Arabidopsis thaliana: one gene and its partner. The protein of the gene in region 2 interacts with the protein of the main gene of each other region in a pairwise test. Each region holds a gene or a part of one and is shown on either strand. Other genes may lie near its edges. The genes, in order: AT1G74840 and AT3G03550.

Region 1 (4,677 bases), on a different chromosome or scaffold from region 2:
TATAAGTATCACAGTCAGAATCTTTCTCGGTGGCGAAAGAGAGAAGACATCCTTCACACATATGTTTAATCTCAGAGAGCTTCTTATGGACATGGCAATAAGCAAGAGAAGATACTTTCTTCTTGTGAGAGTCGCAGATTGACTCGTTGTAATAGAATTGAGGGTCTCTAGGGACGAGAATGTGGTCGATTCTGGTGCAGAGAAGACAAGGAATGTTGAGGTCGAAGAATTTGGCGAATTGGTTTGACAGAAAGGCGATAACGCCGTCGATGAAGAGGAAAACAATGAGGCTCCATTCAAGAACAGTGTAGATGAGGAAATGAGGAAGAGATCCGAGTTCTTGTTCCACAAATTTCTTGAAAGAACGTTTAGACATTGTGGCTTGTAAAAGCAGAAACAAGAACAAGAAAAAACAGAGCAATTGTATATACATAGGAGATCGAATTTTGGTCAAAGATCAACAAAGAACAGAGATCATGATCTATCTATCTCAATCTTTTGTGATTTGTGTTTCTATTTCTGGGTTTAGAGAGTCTAGATTGGGCTGGAATTTGATGAGATAAAGTACCCAAAAACAAAGGATAGTCGCAGATTTGAAATTGATAAATTTAGAGACAATGTCAAAAGACAGAGAGATACAAAACAAACAAAGATAAACTGGATTCGTTTTTTTTTTTTTTTTCCCCGCTTAGACGTGAGGAGAAGTTTGTCGTTGACGCTAAAACTGAATACAACCATACACGACAGAAACAGAGGACATGCCAACACACACATGACATACACATATACATCATCATCATATAAAAATGATGCTGTTTGATTGGTCGATTAATGAATGGGGATCATGTTCTGTGATTGGAAGATTATTGCTTACGCAACAGGGGTAATATGTAATCATCCCACACAAAATATATTAAAAGCATCTGATGGGAAAAGAAAAAGCTCCACTATGATGGAAGTGACCAATAAAATTTGACATTATTGGCATCATTAAAGATAATGACATTATTCTACAAACATAAAATATCTTATCCTTGGAAATCAGATATATTATAAAAACCCTAAAACCCCATGAATCATCTAACATGATTTAGATAGCCACATGATAAGCAAGTACTACGACTCTGTTTATGATTGAGATCATGAATAAAACAAACATAACGTTAATATGATTTATAAGTTTTGATAGATCCACACGAATGAACTTAGAGAGTATTACAACAACTTCCAAACATGGAAGGAAAAACACAGGATGATTATGAACCCTAAAACCCCACTTAAGTCCTATCTCCAAACTCTGTTTATTATTCTTCTTTTCAACAGATTTTTTTTAGCCAAATACATAAATTTGACGAATTTTTTTATAACAAAGTCAAGACCTATCTGTACAGCAAAGAAACAAACAGGGTGTGTTGCAGATTTTCACCTTTAGGATAAGCTCTAAGCGACTCCAATCGTGTTGAATGCTGGATGCATTGAAGGAGATGGTTCATTAAGATTAGATGAAGCTAGTGAGAGGTTGAGAGAAAGCGGTGCTGGACTTGACTGAAAAGTTAATGGAACCAAATTGATGAGATTCGATGAAGTAAGCTGTCCGTATGATTGATTCCCTGTTGGTACCGGGAACTCGGGAAAGACTTGCATAACCGGATGTATAGAGAAGTTGTTGATTTCCGGTACAGGAGAAGATGATTGAGATGTGTTCTCCTGTATAAGCACTTGGTGATCTTCTTCCATGGGTATGACCTGATAACAAAACCAAGCAAAATCAGTTTTGTTATACTTAAGTTTTCACTAACCAACAATTCACAAAGGCTCTCTATTAGTTTCTTTTAAACAACTAAGCTAAAAACTAAACCTAACCACTTAACTTACTAGAGTCACAAAGGATTAGAGATTTACCGTATCAGTAGTCATGTCAAAAAGGCTAGATCTTCGGCGGCGACGGTTAAGATTACTTCGCCTGAGGAAGTATTTCTGAGCATGACTAGCAACTTGTGTAGAGGTTCTGGTCTTGACAAAGTTTCTTGATATTCCTTTCCAATCTCCTTTACCGACTCTCTGCAGCCCAAGCAAGAACAGCTTGTGTTCTTCTTCAGTCCATGGAACTCCTAAGAAATAGAAAGAAACCCAATAAATTAGCCATCTTTCTAAATCCAAATGAACATAAAGTTGTTCATAGTCCATTTCTCAAACCATATCTAACAAATCCCTAAGTTTAAAGTGATCAAATTTATGGAATGATAAAAAAAAGTTTCAATCGAAGAGTAATACCTCGTTTCCTCTCGATTTTGCCGTTAGAAGAAGACATGGGAAGAGCTTCATCCGCCGAGGCGTAACCGGCCGGGGTTTTGTTCATATCTTGTTCATCTCTATCTTCGCCGTCGATCTTTGGAGTCTCCGCCGTCTGTTCATAGTCAGACAGATTGTTCAAACTCACGCACTTTCTCATCGGGTCAAGCACAACCCTGACTCCGAACAGCATAATCTCTCTTCTTGTGCCGCTTCCAGCGCAGGCGGTAGTGGACTCCGAAGAACTAGTACTACCGTCGGCCATGATAATCTTTCCGATTTTGCCCCTTGTGCTTTCTTTCTCCTAAAGAAGCAAAGTACACAGAGCAATGGGCAATGGAGTGGTGTGAGTTAGATCTGAGCTTCTTTGGGGACCCTTTTATAAGCCAAAAGCCACGTGGTTCCTTTTTAAACTATTACATGTTGTAGGTGTTGGTGACGGTACCATATGACACGTGTTTTGTTTTTATTCGTCTGTTCTTGTATTTTTTTCTTACCTGCCTGTCTCTCTACAGAGTTTTCATTTGGATAGACTTTTTTTATTCATTGGCTGACTAGATTTATTAGGTTTTTTGTTAGTAGTTTAATTAATCTTATAGGATGACGAAAAAAGAGTTAAATAAATGTTATCCTATAATAAGAAGTTAAAAAAGTATTTCGCTATGTCGACCAAAAAATGTAGGTCGTATAACGAAGAAATATTTATTGACTTTCGCAAACTCAAAGTTAAATACAAAAAAATGAAATAACAGAATGAGAAAAATGAAATGAAATCGACGCTTTTATTTTTCTTAACGTTACCCTCATGTATTTTTATGATAAAAATCTACAGGTTATAATGTACTGGTCAACGCAATGTCTCTAAGGCCTAAGCGCATGCAACTTGAGCTTAGAAAAATAGTCAGCTTCTGAAATGATTCTGTACTCTGCTCTAATAATCTATTTAGTTACAGCTCCATCCTTGTACTTTTTTTTCTTCTAAAATACTATATCTTGTGGATCTATGAGTTGATTATTAAGAAAAAAATCTTGGGAGACAGGTGAATCCTTTTTGGAAATTATAACTTTGAATTTCAACACAAAAACTTACAATTTCAGGAATCTAATTCAACAACAAAAATGATTGTGTAGTCGAATTTGTCGTTTTCTAGCTAAGAGTAAATTTTAAGACGCTGTTAAGGACCTAATTGTAGTATAAACAGCATGATCGTATGTCCAGACTTGATCACAACTATATAGCATTAAAAAACAAAAAGGTGATAGTTTTAGTCTTTTAGTAGAATGTTAGGATGTGATTTGACTGTAAGCAATATGATCACATACTATTATTATTTATCTATTTTAGATTTGTAGGGAAAAGATTCTAAAAAGTATTTACAAAATTTGGTAAATAGTTTTGGAAGACAGCAAAATCACACAAAGCACTAGCATCGGTTAGAAAGCAAAGCCACCATTACTTTTATGCGCACACAAAGTGGAATCTTAAAGTTGTAATGTGTGAAGCACTATAGGAAGATCCTTTCTTTCTCCAATCTTTTTCTTATTTTATTACCAATTTGGATGACAAACTTGTAGTGACTTTCCTAAATCAGAAAACAAACACATATCTGAGGACGAGAGAGAGAAAAAGATTAATCAGACCGAAGAAGGAATCTTGCACAACAGATTGTTTTCTTTATTCTGGGTGGAGTTGGGTCATTGCTATGTAATAAGTTAGATTTCGAAACAGAGAGAGTTCATCAGGTGAGGTCACAAGCAAAAACTAGAGCTTCCCTGAGGAATCTTGATTAATAGATCCTTTAATTGTAACTAGAGCTTTGATCTTACATTAGCATTTAGCTTTATAGTAATCAAAAACATAGTTGAATGGAAAAAAAAACGAAAAAAAATCTATGGCTGCAAAATCATGGGTCTAACAATCCATCAAAACACTTAGTTGGCTACTTACTTGAGATTTTCATATAGACGCTTCTTCATATAAACTAAGATCACCATTTATCTTCTTCTCCAGCTTCTTCTGTCTAACAGAGGTTGACTCTACTGCTTGAAACCATAGCATAGTTATCATGGATATGGAGTGCTTGTGAAATACGCCCACAGTTTTCACCCACCAGTCTATATGGAGGAAGGCAGAAGAGGCCTTTGATTTCTGGACTTGGCAACAGAAACTACGTTGTCTAGTTCTTAAGCTGTGCTCCCTGCTAGTTCTTTTTTCGTCCTGGTTCTTCGTTGTGTAGGGTTACCGCTGTGGTTCGTGTCACTGCTTGTTGAAGCTCTTGTTCCAGCCGCAAATATTGGCGAGTTTGCTAATGCCACTAGGTTTTTATTTTCGGATTCTTCTGAAGTTGGCTCTTTCGTTGACAGTAACTGCTTGAGCTGAGATCG
Region 2 (4,373 bases):
AATTTTTGTAAAATTGAAAATTCATTATATTCTCTCAAAATTGAACATTGTTTTTGAGGAAATCTTCTAAGGATTGTGAATTATTCAAAAGGCTTACCGACACAATATTCACATGTAGAAAGAATTCAGTGCTCTAGCCTTGGATATTAGCAAAAAAATGTATATTAAAACTAAACAAACCACACAAAGTTTAAAATATGCATATATGTTTTACGTTAATAATCTTTATCAATGCATATGAAAATTCGGAATATAAACAATAGCCGTCTTTTATTGATCAAGTAAACATCAGCGATCTCAGGCTGATGTGATCGATCATGTCATGAGGCCGGCCCTGGATCCCATGCAATAAAAAAACTTGTTTTAGGCGCATAGATTAATCTCATACTTGACTTATTTCCCTCTCTCGTATCTTGCAATTTTAGGATCTCGTGTATAATTAGAGTGCATCTATTGGTCACCAAATCCCTTGCAAATATCATCGTTTTGTATATATATTAAGCTTAACAATTAATATGGATGTCGTAAAATTGCATGGTGTCATTGTGGTGACATATAGCTAAACTTACCATAACTGGTATTTTCTAGGAAGTGGCATCACTAGAAAAGAAAAAGAACATGTAGATTAATTATAAGTAAAAAAAATACGTAAGAATATTTGGGCGGTAAATTCAAAACTCTTTGATTGCTCTGTTTCTCAAATGGTTTACAATGATTCTGATTGTTATAATAAGATTACCAAAACTAAAATATAGATTTTTTTAAAAAAGCCAATCAGCACTTTTTTGATATTTTTAAAAATAATTTCAAATTCCCTATTTTTTTATTTTTTTTTTATAACTTATTTCGGTAAACGGTAATTTTTTGCTCTATCGTAACCAGATCTCTTCATCGCCGCCATTGAACTCCGAACCAGAAAATTCGAAATTCCGTTTGTTTGATTCGCCGCCGATCCTGACGGCGGAGGCGTCTTCTCTCCTTCCCCTTCTTCTACCCACCGAGAAGTTCCTACACCCGCTGATTCTTCGTCGTCTTCAATCTCCCTTAGTATATCTGCGATCGATACCACACCGCCGCCTGAGTTTAACGACGCCGATCTCCGCTCTTCTCCGTCTCTTGAATCCTGCATCTCCGGTGGTTTCGGCGTCGATCCTTCATTAACCGTCTCATTCCGAGATCTAGAATTTTCCAGATCTAAGTTAACGACAACGACGGAATCATCTCCGGTCGAAATCGAGTTGTTCTCCGTAACGATCTGTTGATTGGTTAAATCGACGATCTCAACGGCGGAGGAAGTGACGATGAAGGCGCGGCAGAGAGGACAATTAGAGTGAGATTTCAACCAAGTATCAATACAAGGAACGTGAAACGCGTGGTTGCATTTAGGTAACAATCTCAAGCTCTCGTTCTCTTGAAACTCGCTTAAACAAACAGAGCAATCTGAAGATTCAACAAATCCATCCATCTTTCTGTATTTGTAAACAGTTATCGATTTAATCAGAGATTCATCGAGTCCATCGCCACCACCACCACCAATCGTTTGATTCGGATTCGTAGCTCCGTTGTTGTTGTTGTTGTTGGTTCCTTGCCAGGTGTAATCTGATGAGATTCTGTTTATAGCTGCGGCGGAGGTAGAGGAGGAGTTGTGGCGACGGCGGTGGCAGTATTTGGAGATGAGAGTGTAGTAGCTGACGAGGATGAAGGCGCTAGCGAGGATTCCGATGAGAGCGATGAGGAGAGGAGAGAAATCAGAGGAGGAAGAGTCGTCTTCGTCGTCGAGATAGAAGGAAGGAGGAGGAGGGAAGATGACGTAACACCATTGAGGGCAATAGACACTGCATACTCCTTGAGAACAGTCTCTGTATGAATCGTATGTTGTACCCCATGGATTAGGGTTTCCTGTTGAACCCATTATTTGATTGTTGGAGAAAGATAGAGAGAGAGAGCAAGGAAGAAGATGGAGGTGTCAAGTGTCTCTCTCCTTTTTCTTTGGGCTCTGCTTTTGTCTGGTAAGTGTCTATTTTTTTATTTCGAGTTAATTGGTATTATTAGAGGAGATAATGAATAAATATATATGTTCATGAAAGCTTTTGCATGATGGTGTTAATACTAATTGAATGATGTTTATAGTGAATGTTCTACTTTATCAAATTTTTATTTCTAGTATGAATAAAGGTGTAGAATTTGCTTTATTCATTTTTATTCTTTAGCTTTCTCTTTATGCTTCCATTTTTTTTAAAGATAAATTAATACATTAGTAAAATAAATGGAGTTCATTTTTTTTTTTTTTGATTTTATTTTGAGAAATGAGAACGTAACATAAGAAGTGTTTTAGTGTTGACGAAATAAAAAGAGAGAGAGGGTTTAGTCTATTTCAAGGCATAAAAAAATGGTTGGTGAAGTGTTGACGAAGGTGGAATACTATAACATGGGCCACGTGGATGACAAATTTACTCCTCGACGTATCTATTAAAGTTGTGGTCAGAAATACAGTACAATTTACCGACTACCTACATGGAAGAAGAATATTTTCATTTCATTTCAACTACAGTAGTATAACATTCACGTTATACGATTTTTCATTTTTGTTTTGTAATCAAAGTAATGATTTTCCAAAAAAATCATTGCTATGATTCGAATACATACAGTTTTATATTAGTTTACATATTTATGACAACTATAATACAAAATTTTAATAGTTGTTCAAGGGACGATTGATGTGAACTCGCCAACCATATGCCCTACGTACAAAATAACATATTTACATGTAGAAGTTGAAAATAATAATAATAAAGTGTGATTAAAAACAATTATACAAATGCTAACAATAGGCTACGAGATCGTATATATCTGTAAAGTGTGATTAAAAAACAATTACACAAATGATAATAATAGGCTACTAATCATAATCGTTAAGCTGATTTAATGAAATTATCTTGTGGGCTCAAAGATAAACTGTAAAACCCAATTATATATGTCATATGACGTAAATGATTGATTACACATCTATTTGCACATGCCTAAAGTTGTTCCCCCTTTTGTTGTTGTTATTGTTGTTATGCCAACTGGCTATAAAGTTAGATGTATTTTACTGTCTGTTATCTCATGTTTTGGAACAAAACCTCTTTAGCTTGATGTCTAACCAAATCTAATTATTTTACTGATTCAAGTGTCTATTCTTTGCTTTTATTTTATTTCTTTTGTTTTAGCTTTGTTTGGGAGAATATTGTTATTTGTTAATTGTTATATTAAATATTTTCTTAAAATTTTACAAAAATATTTGACAGATATTTTTTTTTTTTAATTTGCAGTTGCTTTTTAATTCGTTGTGCACTCATTGTAAATAGTATTTCCCAGTATTATTTAAAAAGAAAAAAGAAGATTCAGTACAGAGTGAATGTTACAGTCTATTACAATAAGATTTATTTTTGTTGTTCAGAAAAACATAGAACCTAAACGACAAAAAATAATAATACAAAAACTATAGCGATAACAATTATTACTCAATTATAAAAATAGAAATCGCAGACCCCATTTTATTAAACTTAAATTTGAAGGTCTCGAGGATGGATCTGTTCTGTAGTGTGTAGTCATCACTAACTTTTAAACTCGTCCTTTTCTGCGCTCGTCCAGTGCCTGCTTCATGATAAAAAAGATTGTTATGAAACTATAAAACTAATTAGTTCAATTTTATAGGTTAGTTTTAGTAATTCTCAAAACATACCTTGCTTTGAAGCATTCTCATCGTCAAGACTAGCGTATCACGCATACTGGTAAAAAAAAGAAGAAGCCAAAAATCATGAGATTTTAGGTGTGAGTTTGTAAAATAATGTTGCGGTAAAACGAGATACAAAATTACTGTATATGGCTATATGCAGAGAAATGTATATACGTACCGGACATTGAGTGTGCTTATGGGATGTGAAGATCCATCATAACTTATCAGTACAAACTGTGTGGATTCTCCAGACGGTACTCTTATCTGCAAAGTTTGTTTAAATTATGATGACCAAGAAAATGAGGAAAGCTTTAATTCTCAATGTCTAAGAATCTTTTTTACCTGAAGTTCCTTTGAGTATTTCTCTGAGATCACTACAGCTTCTGTGGTATTCGTTTTAATCTGGTAACTAGATCTCTTCAAAACAACAGTTGCGGGTTCCCAACTCTCTGATGAATCCATCTTTCGAAATAAATAGCCATGAAAAAACGGTTGTTAAATCAACAGCTGAATTAAACCTGAGACAGTGGATTCAAGATGTGATCTTAAAACTTACCAGAAGCTGCACATTAAAGCTTGCTTGACCTCTGGATATATAAGTGTCGATTTCTGTTTGCATCTCTGTATCTGTAGAAGTAAAAAAACATTCTCAGCA

What was found.
Region 1: the proteins of AT3G03550 (region 2) and AT1G74840 interact in a two-hybrid assay, tested with the Arabidopsis thaliana proteins (one large-scale study listed by BioGRID).

Annotation. Positions count from the first base shown.
Region 1 is NC_003070.9:28,114,761-28,119,437, forward strand, and holds AT1G74840 (Homeodomain-like superfamily protein), read right to left. Parts: upstream 2,663-4,677; 5' UTR 2,558-2,662; coding exon 2,275-2,557; intron 2,112-2,274; coding exon 1,903-2,111; intron 1,747-1,902; coding exon 1,441-1,746; 3' UTR 683-1,440; downstream 1-682. Other genes in the region: AT1G74830 (myosin-binding protein, putative (Protein of unknown function, DUF593)), read right to left, coding at 1-433; PTAC2 (plastid transcriptionally active 2), read right to left, coding at 4,477-4,677.
Region 2 is NC_003074.8:849,550-853,922, forward strand, and holds AT3G03550 (RING/U-box superfamily protein), read right to left. Parts: upstream 2,193-4,373; 5' UTR 1,913-2,192; coding exon 842-1,912; 3' UTR 559-841; downstream 1-558. Other genes in the region: AT3G03560 (uncharacterized protein), read right to left, coding at 3,604-3,636, 3,725-3,770, 3,897-3,982, 4,061-4,180, 4,275-4,345.